Daphnia pulex: one gene and its partner. The protein of the gene in region 1 interacts with the protein of each later gene in a pairwise test. Links are inferred from orthologs where the notes say so. Each region holds a gene or a part of one and is shown in the gene's direction. Other genes may lie near its edges.

Region 1 (6,946 bases):
GTGGCCGTCTTCAGCAGTACTACATTCGAGGATCAAGTAGTACTGACTCATTGCTACCCACCTAGTTCCAGCCCTTACTCAAACCCAGTCGCCTTGGGTTCACGTTGGCTGGCCTATGCGGAAAAGCGACTCATTAATATTCACCGATGCGGAGGCGGTTTCGAGGGTGAAGGGATTCAGTCTTACACAGCCACCGTCATCCACGCTGCCAAGAGCTTGACCAAAGGACTCCGAGAATTTGGCGAAACATTTCTGACTGGTCAAAGAAACATTTCTTCGTCGGCATCGCCATCGTCCCAACAGGGCCCTCAGCCCGGTGTAGTGACTGTCATCGACCTGGAAGGTTTGGCACGCGGAGAAGTCAATCTTCGGGAGGACGTTGACGGCGTGGTAGCGCACTTTGTTGCTCACGCCAATCAGGCCATCAGTTACCTGGCGTTTGACCCTTCAGGGACCCTACTATTCACAGCCGACAAGCAGGGACACAACTTTCACATATTTCGCTTGCATCCAGCGCCTTGTAGTACGAAGCAAAGTGCCGTCCACCATTTGTACACCCTCTATCGTGGCGACACTACGGCTCGAGTACAAGACGTGGCCTTTGCCACCGACTCGCGTTGGGTGGCCGTAACGACGATGCGTGGCACGACGCATGTTTTCCCAATCAGTCCATACGGTGGTTCTGTGGGCGTGAGAACACACACATCTCAACGAGTAGTAAACCGCCTCAGTCGATTCCATCGTAGTGCAGGTTTGGACGACACGCCTTCATCGGGTCGCAGTAGCCCCGTACTCTCCGGTTCACCTAATAATAGTCGCCCGTTGGAATCGACGACTCTCTTGCCCTATCCCAATCCACGACTGCCACCTTATCCTCATCCAACAGTTGTTGTCCCACTCGTACAACTGCGATCGTCTTTCATGGGTGGAGCTACTGGAAATCGAGGCATTCCCGCCTCTCCTGGGCTTTCCAATTCTCGCAAGTTCTCCGATTTGGACGACGGGACGGGAGTCGTCCGGGTCACCTGCTGTTTCGCTCCTCCACGGGGAGCTGCACCACTCGCAGGTCACGTTTTAAATGTAGGCGGAGGTTCAGCCGCCCATCGTGACCGTCTTCAGCGACGTACTGCTGAATCACTCTATGTGATGTCGTGCCATGGCGCCCTGGTGGAGTATGGCTTCGAACCTCGGCTGGCGACTGGGATACCGCGCGAAAAGATTTGCGACAAGAGCTCCATAGAGCTGGACATTGTGCCGCTGGCCCAGTGGCCTATACATCGACCGCTCTACAATGCCGCAGATCTACCACCTCCTTTAGCATCACACATCCTTTCCCTAATCACCAACGGACCTGAATCGGACGATAAAACCGAATCTCCTTCAACTAGCGCCCCATTGTCTGGCAAAGAGATGCAAGAAACCTGGCTAGCACATGTAAGTTTGATTTTTCTTATTGAATTTTTACCTTACCATTTCCTTTAACCGCATTGAATCGTTAGGTTGAAATCAACACGCATGCTGGGCCGCACAGAAGACTTTGGATGGGACCTCAGTTTACATTTAAGACTCTTAAACGTGACAGCACATCCAGGTATTATACGTACAATTTTTCAATTTGTGACAACATCAATAATTTGGGTTATTTTTTCAAACAGTCTTGCTGAAATAGAGGCCTCTGAAGTAGATATTTTGACACGTCCAGCTCGTTCTAACCCAGTAAATATGCCAGACAAGAATGAAATGCCAATTCAAGGACTACCTGTGATTACTGGCGAAGGATCAGCTAGTAAATAACATTTGAACTTGATGTAATAACACAACGATATTCTATAATACTTATTTGCGTTTTACAGGTAGTTACGAACAGTCTCCGAGGTTCTTGACTGGTTGTGGGCGGGAACGCTATGGCACGCGTCGTTGTGATTCCGAGAGTTCTATTTCCGATATGGTCCCCAAAGTCGAAATGGAACTGCAATTGAAAGAAAATTTAGCCGACGCAATGCAAGAAATGCCTTTAGTAGGATCGAATGTTCCTGGTACGTCTTTTCTTTCCCTATACATATTAAAATTGATAGAATTAAAAGTTTGCCTTGTTCAGAAGAAGATGATGGCAGTGAACGTCGAACACACTATTTCATGGATGATGAACGTCTCAACTGGCCTCAAACATCAGTTTCCTCGTCGAACCCACCGGCATCGCTCAACATTGACGAGGATCTTCTGGATTTTGAGCTAGAAAGCGAGACGTGCTTGCGATCACCATCCATGCCCTCAAAATTCGCCATTGACTCTCTTAACCGCAATTCATCGGCGGTCAAGGACAACCAGGATTGCGGTGACAAAGATTACAGTTTCTTTGCCAGCGATGAAGTTGTCAGTGGCTCAGTGCCAGTTGATGTGGCCTTCTTTCCCGATGCGACAAGAAGCGCCGGTGAAAGTAGTTCTAATGAAGAGGACGTTGTGACTGTTCCCTCTTTTGACCAGGATGGTTCTGGTCCTGGCCGTAAAAGTAAGAAAAATCGCAAAAAGAAGAAGTGAGTTGGGGCTTTGGTTTGGGTCAGTTGTTGTACTCCTTTTTCGGGTTTCTCTATGCGTGGTTTACCAATTAGGGTTTTCTTTTTTGTCCCCTGTAACTTGGTGGTTCTTTTAAATGTGAGATATAGCATGACAGAATGCATGGAAATAATTTTCCTTTTAATTCTGATCGTTGTTACACGGCTTTTTTTCTATTTTTCTCTTGAATATATTATTCAGCCATGCATCAAACGTTAATTCGTATGATATATCATACGCACTCGGGAAAAAGACATAAAAAAGAACACAATTTTTAGTCTACATTTTGAAATTTTCTTTTGAATTTAAAAAATGCTGTGTTTTCAAGTGATGCATAGATGTGAGCTCTTGGTGCGATGTCTACGTTTCAGTTAACCACAAAAGGCGATCCCCGCCTAATTTCTAACTAACCTTCTAATAATAATCATGTTCTTTCCTATTAGAATAGACTTTAATTGCACCAATCTCTCGGTAGATCTCAATCGTCTTACCGCATTCGCGTGCTTTGATAAGAAAACGGAACTTAGGTAAATAACCTATTAACCCTCAAAAAGCCTCAATAGGAAAAAACTTGCTGACTTGACTTCAAACTGTTAACTCGCTTGATTGTCCGAGCGTGATATATCATTCATCGATTCCCATCGCTCGTCTTCAACCTATTTTTTCACATGCTGTTATAATTAACAAATCATCAAAAAATATAAATAGTCCATTCATAAGTTTATAACATACTGACCACACACCACAACAAAATTTCAGTGATGTCACGTTGATGTGTATCGTCGAACGAACGTCAATACAAATTCATTTCCTGCTCAAGGAATGGTAACTTATTATTTATTATTACAATTTGCATTTCTAATTTTCTTGTAGATCAACCCGATCGATTTCGGAAAATTCGTGTCCACCACATTTAAAAGGAAAGCTGACGAATAAAATTATTTCAAAAAATATACTCTGAAGCTCTACTACTAAAATCAGCTTGTCGAAAAAAAAATGTCTATAGGATATAGCGGCACCTATTTACTTCTAAGATAGCGCAGCAGCAAGGAAGCATTCCGATTGATTACTGAAAGGAGAAAGAAGGAAGCTCAAGTGGATACTTTTTTTAGAAATGCTTTCTTGCATGGCCTTTCCTATTTTGAGTCTACATGCAAACACAAATAACCTTAGGAAAACTGTGCTTAAGATGTAGTGTAGCAAACTATATTACATATGGATCCAAAACCACATTTGCTCTCTAATGATTGGAATTCAGTCAGCATTCCATCATTAACCAGAACAAAATGACAAGACACCCTAAGCCTACAAACTGTATGTCTTACAAATGGTTTGAATTATGATGCATCACCTGAGCCTACCTGATTCAAAGTCAGTCTGCATTTAGATTCGTGCGTTGAAGGCTGATTGTTCAGTGTTGTCGCAGGTAAAATCTTGTTACTGAACTTTTACTGAACAAATAAAAATTTTCTAATTTACGGTATTCCTAATTCCATTGCAATAAGAGCCGATATGACTGATGTAGCAGTAGGTATGATGCACTAGGACGTGGTGTGATGAAAGCACTGTGCACAGCACAGCACAATATTTCAATGTTTGCAAAATTCCGCCGTTGACAAATTTTCCGTGAAAATTATTCAGTTTTTGCTGTCTCCAATTATTTTTCACCTAAACATTTTATCACGTTTCCTCACGACTATTTTATGAATAAACTAAGAAAGAATGACATGAATACAATAGCACAAAAGTTTGAGTTAATAATTAAATGGATGATCAAGTTATTTTACAAAAATATTTCGTCTATATAGTTACCCTCGCCCGTTTTGTAATAGAATGTATGCCCAGAACATAAATAATGAATTCCAAATCAATCAAAATCCTTATCCATTGCGGAGTCGGGATTACTCGTCTCTATCAGGTGAGCTCGTTTGTAAACACTTCGCCATTCGACAAGCCAGAAACAGACCGTTCCAGCTAGTAGAAGAATTCCAATGATTATTAACTGTGGGTGGATTCCAATGTATGGACTGTAGAAGAAGCTTGCGGCAGATGCCATAGACTAATGCGAAAAAAATTAAAACGTTAGATTTTAAATTCTACAGAGATAAAATAAAATAACGGGTTCTAATTACCGAAACAAACTTAAAGAGAGCAAAAGCTGGTGCGCTGTCGTTCGGATAAATACCTAATAGCAAAAAACAGATGAGTATAAATTCACATCCTTTTTTTTATCCAATATTTTTGTACTTACCACCAAGAATACTATAGACTTGCGTATTAAAGCAAGCATCACCAAAGGCTACCAAAAAACTGCTGAAAATAGCTACAAATGGACTGCATAGAAAAATAAAATATATCTTTATCAATAAAGTTCGTACAAGCTATATTTCATACCTGCTTGTAATGAAACCAGTATCAGTGGTATCCCCAAATGGAGCGTTATTTGGAATGTTGAGGAAGATGAGGAAAAAGCCGAGGGCCTGAGTTAAAAATCCAGTCAGAATAATGGGATCACGACCGTATCGAACAGTTTTCGAGCCTAGAATTCCAAATAGAGCTCCACCTTAAAAAGAAAACCAAAAGTCATTAAAACATAAATAAACGGACAGTCATTTCTATGTATAACCTTACCTGCGATTTCACCAACGCCAATAAAAATACCGGATAAACCCACCAACCGTTTGCTGTCTTCAAACTCCAGCGTGAATCCAATACTGGGGCTGTAGACGCCGCTTAAAAAGGAATATTCGATACCTAAGAAATTGAAATTTAAAAAACATGTTTCTGAATGGAAAGGTAAAAGGTTCAATCGAATTACCAATATAAAAGAATGCTACAGAGAGTAGACCCATGTCCTTCGTAAAGAAGAGTTTGATAGATCTTAAAAATGCATCCAATGGGCCTTGGGGTGCTTGCGCTCCTCGAGTGGAAACAACTCCATCTTCGGATTTAGGAGTATTTCGGGAAGCGTCAGAATCTTTCACCTAAACAAAAAACGGAAATATAAAATGCTGCGATTGCAGGATTTAGTGCATCTACTTTTTTTTTATTACCGCAGGCAAAATGACAAGCATGACAAGACCCAGGAATCCAACAACTAGTAAAACGCCGTACAAAATTGTGCGCGTGTGCTGGTCAATTTGTTCTCTTCCTTGAAACAAAAAGAAGACAAACAAGTTGCCAAAAAGAAAACTGCATGGAAAATGATAAAACGTTAATACTGTTTTAATATTTAAAATGTTTTAGAACCCACCTGCATTGGAATACGGCCCAAAACACGCCAGAATTTCTTGAAATGTTGCTCCCATCGGAATTTAGAGTTAAATAGTTTCCTTGACCTTTGGAAAAATTAATTTTAGCCAGATTTAGATTTACATCATTTAGTGAATTGAATTAACCGCAAAATAATCATTAATTGGCAACCACAATACCTGTCCATATAAGAGCCGCTCCGAATCCGAGGAGAGCTGAACAGGTATACAACGCCCAACTCTGCTGAAGAAAGAAACTGCCAATGTAAAGCCTAGATAAAGAAAAACAACAAATTATTTTTCTGGTTTTGTTTTTATCTTTACGTCGTATTTTCTTACGAGTAAAAGAAACCTCCAACAATCATCGACCACTTTGGTCCAATGACGGAGATAATCGATGGAGAGATCCAGTTGGATATGGAAAGCACAGCGTAGATGATGGCAAGACTAGTGAAACCATCCGCAATGAAACTAGGATCCTCTTGAGTTATGCTCTTGATTACCGTTTGCTGTCATTAAAAAAGAACAAACATTTTAAATGGGTCGACAACATCGTCACATTTTTCTGAGGAATCGATAAACTCTTATCGTGTCGGGAGGTCATTTATTCATCTGCCGCCGCCACCGTCTCTATCGCATTTCATTTGCTCTACTGATCTACGTCTATTCTTTTCATAACAACTCTTTTTGCGCTTTTCTCCTTTGACCTCAAGTCATAAACCAGTCAATTTTGCGATAAAAATGGAATGATGACGTCTAGCGTCTTGAATTTGAATAAACAAAGTTTCTAAATCTAGGCTAAATCCTTCTTTAACATCTTTTAAAACTGGTTTGCATAGAACTGAACTAATTGCAGACAACTTTCACTTTTCTTTAGGCTTTGCTCCAAGATATCAATGCTGTGCATTTTAAGTGGAAAAGTTGCAGACAAGCAGTTAAGTGACTGACTCAAATTAAAAAACTTCAGCAAGCTATAGTAGGAATTAATGGTTTGTAAGATAAAATGGTCATGTCTTACCTGAATGTTTCCCATAGTCTGAAAAGCTGTGAAGATCAGCATAAATGCCACTCCCAGGATTAAGACATTAACAAATTTTCGATCAATTTCCATTTTGGCAGTTTCTGAAAACCAAAATAAAATA
Region 2 (8,787 bases), about 2.6 Mb from region 1:
TGAAATGACGTACGAAAATGCGAATGAGTTTGTCACTCTCTTCCGGAGACTCCGGTAAGCTAATCATTTGATTCCGTTGACTGAATCTATTTTTCATTGTAAATTAAACCTGCATTATTCAATTAGCAATTTGTATTATTCTCCCAAAAAAATCGTGCAGCATTGCTCTCGTCATTGACACACACTATTAAATGTATACAGACGCATTGATACGAAATGGGTTCAGGTTAAGCCAATAAGTGGAGCATTCAACTTCCACATATTTCGTAGTCGACCCGTGCAGACAGAGCCGATACAAACAACACAGAAAAACACTTCGATTGCGAAATTGTTGAACAAAACAAGAAACAGCAGTCTAAACATGATTTCAAGTAGTAAGTCTAAAGCAAGTAAACACGTCAACAACACGTGAACGTGAACGTAAATCGCGTCACGTCCCATCACTAGAAAATAGAAAAACAAAATCCAAAAGTTTATGCAAGTAGAATTTGCAAGTGATGTGTGGTATGACAATATGCAGACTAAAGGTTTCCTGGAAGTCCGTCCAATCGTCATGCATGTCTACAATGTGTTGTTCTTTTTTTTTTTTTGTGTTTTCTAGTTAAAGTTTTTGCAGGTAAAATAAGGAACAAAAAAAAATCGTTCGACCTGTTTGCCTTGTAATTCCTCCCCCCCCCCCCCACACACACACACACAAAAAAAATGTAGTTTAATTAAGTACGAGAGACAATTTTCGTGACTTTCACCTACGACTATAAAAAGTGTTTTCCCGTATTTGAGTCCAAATGCGCTTTAATGGATTAACCGGACAAGCTTGAAGATTGCTGTGGAAAATTTTCATTTATGGAATCATTAGACGTAAGATTCGCTGGCTTTCTCATCTACAATTTTGATCTCGTGAAGAAAGCAAAACATGCTATGATCACGCTGTGTTATGTAAGTCGAAAAATGATGCGGCGATTCTGATGCTCACCCGACCCCCCCCCCCCCTCCATCCACTTAAAAAAAAAACTCGAACACCCAAAAGCAGCTGAACCCTAGGACCTTCCCTCAATTCTACTTATGGCCGGTATCCGTCTCTTGTTGACTTCAAAACAAAGACGTAAACAACCAGTGGAGAAAAACAAATTTCGCAACGATGAAGGTCTACCAAGGAGAGCCGATAGCGACTACGTGACCGCGGTAAACATTTTTTAAACATACGTACTATGAATATCAATGAAACAGGGAGAGCCGAAAAAAGCAACGTTCGATACAAAATGAGTAGCACATCTTTACAAGGTTTCTCGTTGTGTGGGGGGTTTTTGTTTTTCAATCAAGCAACAGGTCCTTCCAGTTCAAATTTAGCGCTAAATGTTTTGGTACAGTAAAGGAATCGGCTACGGCAGATTTGATACAACATTTCTTATTTCCCAAGAATTATGCCCTTTTGAACAGAAAAGTTTGATCGAAGAATCAAGAATTGTAAGGATTCTGTTGGGAAAGAGAACGCTTAAGGCACTGATCGCAGTAATTCCTTGCCTTGGATTGTTGTTCGTGAGCCAAGGACATCAGGGAAGGAAAAAACAGCAGACAGCTGTGACGTAATGAATGGTCACCATATGCAGCCATAGCTACAGTAATACAGTATGCTACTGAAGTCGATAACGCATGGTATCACTTATCAAATCGACCAAACTGTAGACCGAAACCAACAAGAAATGGAGCAAGTACCGAGGTTTAAATTATTCAGCCTTTCTCAATATAACGGAATAATTGGCCTTCATTACTAGCCCGTAGACTCATTTTTTTTTCAAGGGCTCCGCAACTAAAATTGTATTCAAAATAAAAGAAAAACAATATTTCCACTTGAGCTGATAAGGAGAAGATAAGGGGAAGAAAAAAGGGGGAAGAGTTGAGTGTGAAAAGCCGTTTCCTGGATTCTTCAGTCCCTCGCCTTTGAATTTGGCCTGTAAGAAAAAAAGAAAGCCTAGCCTACCCCAAAATTAAAAAAAAAAAAAAAATTTTGCTTAAAATAAGGAAATAGTACTGTACATTTCAATTGCTAACCCCTTGATTTTTTTAAAAGCCAAAAAAATTCTGACAAAAATAAAAGAATAAATTCATATGAAAAAAAAAATCCCCTTTAAGGACAGTATAATCTAATTCATTTCTCTGTCAGTTTGTCTATTTCAGTTGCAATGGTGCATGGTTTCTTAGCCACTTTTGGTCTACGTGACAAATTTATAGTTGCCGTGGGGCGTGGGCGGGGAAAAAATCTTTTTCCTTAAGGTTAAACAAAAATTCCCTTCTTTTACGAAAGATCGGCAAATTATAGCACAACAAGTAAACATATGAACGGGAAAATATCTTTACTGCAGGATAATTTGGCATTAAATATTAATACAAGTTAGCTACAAGATTACAAGACGATGAAAAAATTAACAAATTCAAACGACAGCTAGCTACCATAAAAAACGAAACGAAGAATAGCAGCTCAATCGAAGCCAAAAATATAATATCAAACTTCCGCAACCAGAAACCTCAAAAAGAAATTATGCCGAATAATTGCAGTAGATAATATTTGTAGGTTTCACAGAAGTATTCAAGGTAGAATCGAAATCTTACCGTTTAATTAATGCTAACAGCAACCTCGACATTCCAGCTTTTGAAGAGTATTGATTAACAAAAGAAATGATCTACAAAATTAGTAGCAAATTACTAGTAAACGTGACTGAGATACAACAACGTGATTCTAATGGACAACAGCTACCACAAAAACCGCCGAACTACTTAATTAAACTCTGAAAGTCTGAATATTAGAATGGACATTGGATTTTGGATTGTCGATCGATTGTATAGCCTTCAAGGCTTTCAACAGCTGTTTGGGAACGGAATTTGACATATTTACATTGGTTGCCTTTTTCTCCACTAGATGACGGCTGTTCCACAACAAAGAAAAACCAAAACATTATTATTGTTTTCAGCGTTTTCAGTCCTCAGTGTTGGGTTCGACTGAACGGAAATTACGTTTCAACAATATTGCAAAGTTCTTAATCTTAAGATGCTTGATTTAGAAGTAATCCCTGAGAGATCGTTGGGTTGCGAACATTGGGAGTTTATATTAGGTAAGGTTTAGAGGAAAAAATTCTCTGAGATTAGTAATCGTTTTTGGTTCTTGAATTGCAAAATATTCGTTATGCCATTGAGTGTACACAAGCATACGGAATCGCACAGTATACTTATATTGGTTTGTGTACTTTTCAATCTTCATTATAGGAATGCAGTTTTCTCAAGCAGTTTGCATCTGCATGTCTCAGGTAGCAGTTATGAAGAGAGTCCAAGTAATATATAATGAGAATGTAAGTAAAATCTTTTAGCATACACACACAAACTTCGTGAACATACATGTTATTTGCTGTATAGGACCCTTTGGCTTCTGACCTTATTTTAAGTCTTACTTTGGATGGAATTCGCCTTTTATTTGATTCAGTTTCACAGCGCCTAAAAGTGATTGAGATTTTTGCCATGAATCTCATCAAACTGAAATACTGGTAATAGTAAAAATATTTTAAAATTTAGACAAGATTAGGAGAAATAATCATGCCCTATTTTGATATAGTGGCCTGGTTTTCAATTCAACTGATGTTATCCCAACCATAGATCAAATAGATCATTCTTTTGGAGCTACACACCCTGGAATATATGATCCTGAGAAAAGAATCTTTACTCTAAATTTCCGTGGCCTATCTTTTACCTTTCCAGTTGAACAGGCTAGCGAACCGAGATACGTTCGAGGACTTGGATCGCTTCAATTCACCAACGGCGCGTCTCCTATAGCAACAAAGATGTTCATTTTCAGTGGAAACAGCTTGGTTGACAGCAAACCACCTTCGCTACCGATATCCTGCTTTTTTTCTCATCCTTATCTGCAATGGCTCGAAGTTATTCGTCATAATGGATGTACATCTGGTATCAAGCTCTCCATTATTTGTGAAGGTTCGGCTCAAACATTGATAAATTTAGAAACTAACTTTCAAATCAATGTAATTTTGCGTTTTAGGTCCATCTCAAGTATTGGAACCTAGACGACATGCCTGTGTCCAGGAATTATTTTTTGGAGCTTCTGCCGAAGATGTGCTTACGCTGTTGGGAGCTCCATCTCGCGTGTTTTATAAAGTAAAATGTGCAAATATATGTACATGCACTTTATAAATTTAATTCTTATCGTCGATGGTAGGACGAAGACAAAATGAGGATTCACAGTCCACAGGCGCATCGTCGAGCTCCAGCTTCTTTTTCGGATTATTTTTACAACTACTTCACTCTTGGATTAGTATACTTAAAATTATTCTAGATTTCATTTTTAAAAGTTTCATTACAAATTTCCCGTTTTAAAAAAGGATGCTTTATTCGATGGGAAATATCACAAGTTGAAGAAGTTCGTACTGCATACGAATTATCCAGGACATTACAATTTCAATATGTAAGTGAAACATTTTGCAGTGAATGCGTGGGAGCTGGTCAATGCTTAATTATTTTTTTTTAAAATTCTCTCTCAATTAGGTATCACCGATGTGAGTTTAAGCTCCAGTTGCCGACCAAGGCCACTTCCGTCGATAATTCGAGATTGGTCGATTTATCGCCGACATTTATCACTGTTGGTTTTCAATTCACATATATGTTCTTGCGTGAAACCAATGTCATAAATTATTTACGAATGTAGGTATCTGCTTATTCACGTTGGGATGAAGTTTGCGAGAAAGTGCAGCCTAGTTCACGTCCGATTGTTTTACATCGATCGTCATCGACGAATACAACAAACCCCTTCGGTTCTACGTTCTGCTACGGGGTTGAGGATATTATTTTCGAGGTGAATAACGATTTTTAGATTCCTAAAATACTGAAAGCTTTTAATGAATTTCTCTTTTTGAATGTAAGGTGATGCCAAATAACCTTATAGCATCTGTAACGCTTTACGCATCCGATGATATCTCGCATGAATTACAATCGTAAAAGGATATTAGTCCTATAATTGGAAAATTTTATTACCAATATAATATAAACAGGATTTTTGTATTTGCCCAGGAAACAGACTGACGCCATGAATTGATCTTAAGTGCGCATCTCTTTCGTGATTGTATGTTGTTTGAACGCAAAATAATGTAATAAAACACACTAAACATTAAGCACCAATTACTTTTCCAATGTTAATGTCTTATTCAAACATTCATATAGCTAGTTTGGAGTTTGGACTAGCCTATAAGACAATCAGTTATTGTGATGGCTGTGCGTTATGAGTTCAGGAGTAAAAAAAAAGAAGTTTGAATTGATTGTTCTGATAAAAGAGTAAATTGTAACAGTGTATATTGAAATATGTGTAGCACCCTTGTAAAATTTCGAAACATAGGGTAAAAGGTCTTTGCATGCCTCCATTTTTCACGATAACTCAGAAGTCAGAACGTTTGATTTATCGCATCATCAATCTAAAAAAATAAAATAAAATAAAATAACTTATATCATGAAACTAAATGCGTCTGGTTATTCTAGAATACCACGATGATGAATAAAGAATTAACGGTACAGAAAATAAAGGTCCAAGATAGGCTACATGTATAAACGAAATAACGTGCGCTCAATAAAAATGAAGTTGTTGAATAACAATACGACTGCTAAATATTTACTATTAACACAAATGCTATAATTAATAAACTGTTCTGTAATGTTGCCAACTATCCTATACATTCATCGCGGAAATATTTTCTACAATTTGGTGACGTAGGCTAATAAGTATGGGTTATGTCGATTTGAGGACAAACCTGACTACAATGACAATAAATTACTCGTACCCTCGTAAACTTCCCGTTTACGCCCAAAAAAGAATCTGAACATATAAAGTTGCAGAAGTGAATGATAAGCTAAATAATCACTCACTTTTACTAACATCAATTTTTGTTCATGGTTAAATTCTATTTCCGTATTCTATTTTCTGGATTGTCAGGGAAAAAATATTGGAAACATGTTAAAAAAGTCGAATAGAATAGGGCAGGCACACTTTACCTCTACGACAATGCGCTGGCATAACAGACCTTCTAAAATGACTCATTTTATCTTGATTATATCGCTTTATCTTTACACGACAGATACGAAATAGATGCCCTATTGCTGTAGTTTGTTTACAGTGCGTTGTGTGCTATTACGAAAAGTTCCGTTGCTGTGTACGATTGATGCTGATCCTTGAGCAACAATATTATCAAGCAATCAGATCGCACACAAGGTGTTATACTGATTCACACAGTAGTTATATCACAGTAAAATAACATTTCATATGCAAGTTTATTCAAAAGGGAGAAGAGTTCAATCAACTGCCAGGAAAAATCAAGATATTGGCTGTTACAGAATCTCTATATGAGCAAAGAAACATACACAAACAGCAATAAGGAAGTGGTAAATTTAGTAGCTTAGGTATATTAGCTGAAACTTATACGCGGGTGTTGAGGACCATTTGAAGAAAATGTTCATATCCGATAGTAATGACACCGTCTTGATCGGTATCGAATTGACGAAACGCTGAAGTCAAGTTCTGTCATTGAAAACAATATAGATATATGAAAAAATGATACTTTCATTTAAATCATAGATATGTAAAAATCTTTCTTACATGTAAAACGATGCAACACTGAATGAAATCATCAAAATATATCGTTCCTTTTCCCATACGATCGAATTTTCGAAGCAACATATGATGAGTTCCGTCTTGCAAACGATAGCCGAAACCTATATTAACACAAAAGAACACTTAGTATATTTAAAAATTGTCAGCCAACTTTAATGACAAACTACTTGTAAGTGCTGTTCTTAGTTCATTGCCATCAATGTTCCCCGAATTATCTCTGTCAAAACTTCTAAAGCAAGTTTGCCAATCAGTGACATACTTCCAGATTGCTCCAAAATCTTCAAAGGAAATAGTTCCTCTTTGTTGACGATCAAACATACCTGTAGTAGTGCACAATTCAAAACGGAACATTAGTACAAAGGGATACAAAATTATCATTAATGCCTCTCATACAGCTGTCAAACACATACCAATCATAAGTCTAACAGTTTCCGAGTTAAATGGAGCCCATGTTCCATTGGATAGAGCTGATTGCAGCTCTTCGGCAGTTATTGCTCCACTTCTATCTTTGTCAACTCTAAAAATTTCAATAAATATATTTTAGTTGTAATTTTCTCCCTGAATTTAACCCACAACAAAATTGTTTAACCTTTGAAACACCTGCCAAAGAAAATCACGATTTGGAGCAGCTGGAACCGCACCCGGCCCTTGATAGTGCTGATAAGCCATTGTGTAGACTAAACGCGACTAAACGTTTATAAATAGAATTCACTCAAGTACAATACGTTTTTTAAACTGCCCGATACCAAAGGGTGTTATTAATAAGTAAAGGGATTTTTTTGTAGTGGCCAACAGTCAACTTAATTCACTGAGTTGCACTGAATCAACTTGATGTCTCAATCATTGATGACTCAACACTCAACAGTCAATCCAAGTCCAAAGTCGAAACCCATGAGCCATGACTGCTGTAAAATAAAGACAGGAGTCTTGGACGATAATCGACGATCCGTATGTTTAGGGCTGTGGCCCGGGACGTTTTTAGCGGGTTTTTTTTCAATGGGTTTTTTAGATGGGTTTTTCTTCTTCCGCGGGTCGGAGCGGGTTGGGCCAACTGAGTGAACGGGTTTGGCCCGGGCCAACCCATGGGTCAAAAAATTTTTACCGGTCGGGTAACGGCCCGGGTAAAAAATCGGGTCAAACACACTTTTTTTTTTACAAACTTAAAAAAATTCCCTAAATTTCTTAATTATCTTCTTCTTCTAACAGTGACACGTCAATTCTGTCTTCTGAACACCCCTGAACGCCCTTTTCTACCACTTATCCTACTTTTCATGCTACGAAATTATCGTAGAGCATTTGGCGGCAATATTTTGAGGCCGCAGGCATAGAGAATAACGAGCTTCTCTATGTGACTACTAGATGGCGCCACCGCTCGGGTTGGCCCGCGGTACCGGGAGTTCAACCCGTCGCCCGCCCCGTTAAAAAAAATGCCTCGATGGGTCGAGTCGGGTTGGGTTTTTTTTCGTTCAGCCCGGGCGGTGGCCCGGGTTTTCATCGCCCGGGCCACAGCCCTATATGTTGGCTCTATAATTTTTTTGTGGGTAAATCAGATTTTACAAAAAAAAAAAAATAGTTATTGGCTTGCTAAATGTTTCTATTACTGATAATTAATATAACGAGAAATTTAAGTATTTGTTCAGAAGAATTTGAAAAAGGGAGAAACGCCGGTGCCATCTAGGTGCCAAACATACTGAAAACCAGTTTACGCGATCGATTAGTTTATCACGATTGATCGCTTATTTTTTTCTGATCAAGAGGAAGCGGTTGACCTAAAGACCACTAATTATAAAGACCCGTGGTCTTTATCTATGACATCACACCAATTTTTCAATTTATAGAGCGTGATCGAGATCGAATCGATAATCAAATGCTAAAAAAAAAGTACGCTAAAAAATCGAGTACGCTACAGTTCGAGTCCATCCGCTATCAATCGAGTACACCACAAGTCCACAAGTTATAAACAATTTTGTTATAAATAATGGTAATAGTTTCATCAACAATAGGGTAGAAGGCCTAGAAGCATGAAAAATAATTAATTTTTGTTTTGAATCCTCCTTATAGATGTTATTCCAACCAAAAAGTAGTAGACATGCCAAAAAGTCGTGCGCAGTTTACGCCGGTGCACACCACTG

Evidence for each region. The genes of interacting proteins can lie anywhere in the genome.
Region 2: the proteins of breast carcinoma-amplified sequence 3 homolog (region 1) and PHAF1 protein CG7083-like interact in binary tests that used the Homo sapiens proteins (3 or more experiments, as listed by UniProt). The link is inferred for Daphnia pulex from reciprocal best matches to the Homo sapiens genes BCAS3 and PHAF1.

The regions. Positions count from the first base shown.
Region 1 is NC_060019.1:8,234,311-8,241,256, reverse strand, and holds the end of breast carcinoma-amplified sequence 3 homolog, read left to right. Parts: coding exon 1-1,434; intron 1,435-1,499; coding exon 1,500-1,591; intron 1,592-1,655; coding exon 1,656-1,786; intron 1,787-1,853; coding exon 1,854-2,036; intron 2,037-2,098; coding exon 2,099-2,538; 3' UTR 2,539-3,372; downstream 3,373-6,946. Other genes in the region: UNC93-like protein MFSD11, read right to left, coding at 4,421-4,612, 4,686-4,738, 4,805-4,887, 4,948-5,116, 5,185-5,307, 5,372-5,537, 5,607-5,745, 5,807-5,891 and 3 more. UniProt on the Homo sapiens protein: Plays a role in angiogenesis. Participates in the regulation of cell polarity and directional endothelial cell migration by mediating both the activation and recruitment of CDC42 and the reorganization of the actin cytoskeleton at the cell leading edge.
Region 2 is NC_060019.1:5,647,261-5,656,047, reverse strand, and holds PHAF1 protein CG7083-like, read left to right. Parts: upstream 1-2,945; 5' UTR 2,946-3,043; coding exon 3,044-3,107; intron 3,108-3,258; coding exon 3,259-3,341; intron 3,342-3,405; coding exon 3,406-3,533; intron 3,534-3,601; coding exon 3,602-3,978; intron 3,979-4,042; coding exon 4,043-4,158; intron 4,159-4,219; coding exon 4,220-4,315; intron 4,316-4,382; coding exon 4,383-4,465; intron 4,466-4,545; coding exon 4,546-4,639; intron 4,640-4,705; coding exon 4,706-4,852; intron 4,853-4,920; coding exon 4,921-4,991; intron 4,992-5,067; coding exon 5,068-5,092; 3' UTR 5,093-5,168; downstream 5,169-8,787. Other genes in the region: programmed cell death protein 6-like, read right to left, coding at 6,461-6,562, 6,641-6,756, 6,823-6,975, 7,066-7,172, 7,245-7,324. UniProt on the Homo sapiens protein: Plays a regulatory role in autophagic activity. In complex with BCAS3, associates with the autophagosome formation site during both non-selective and selective autophagy.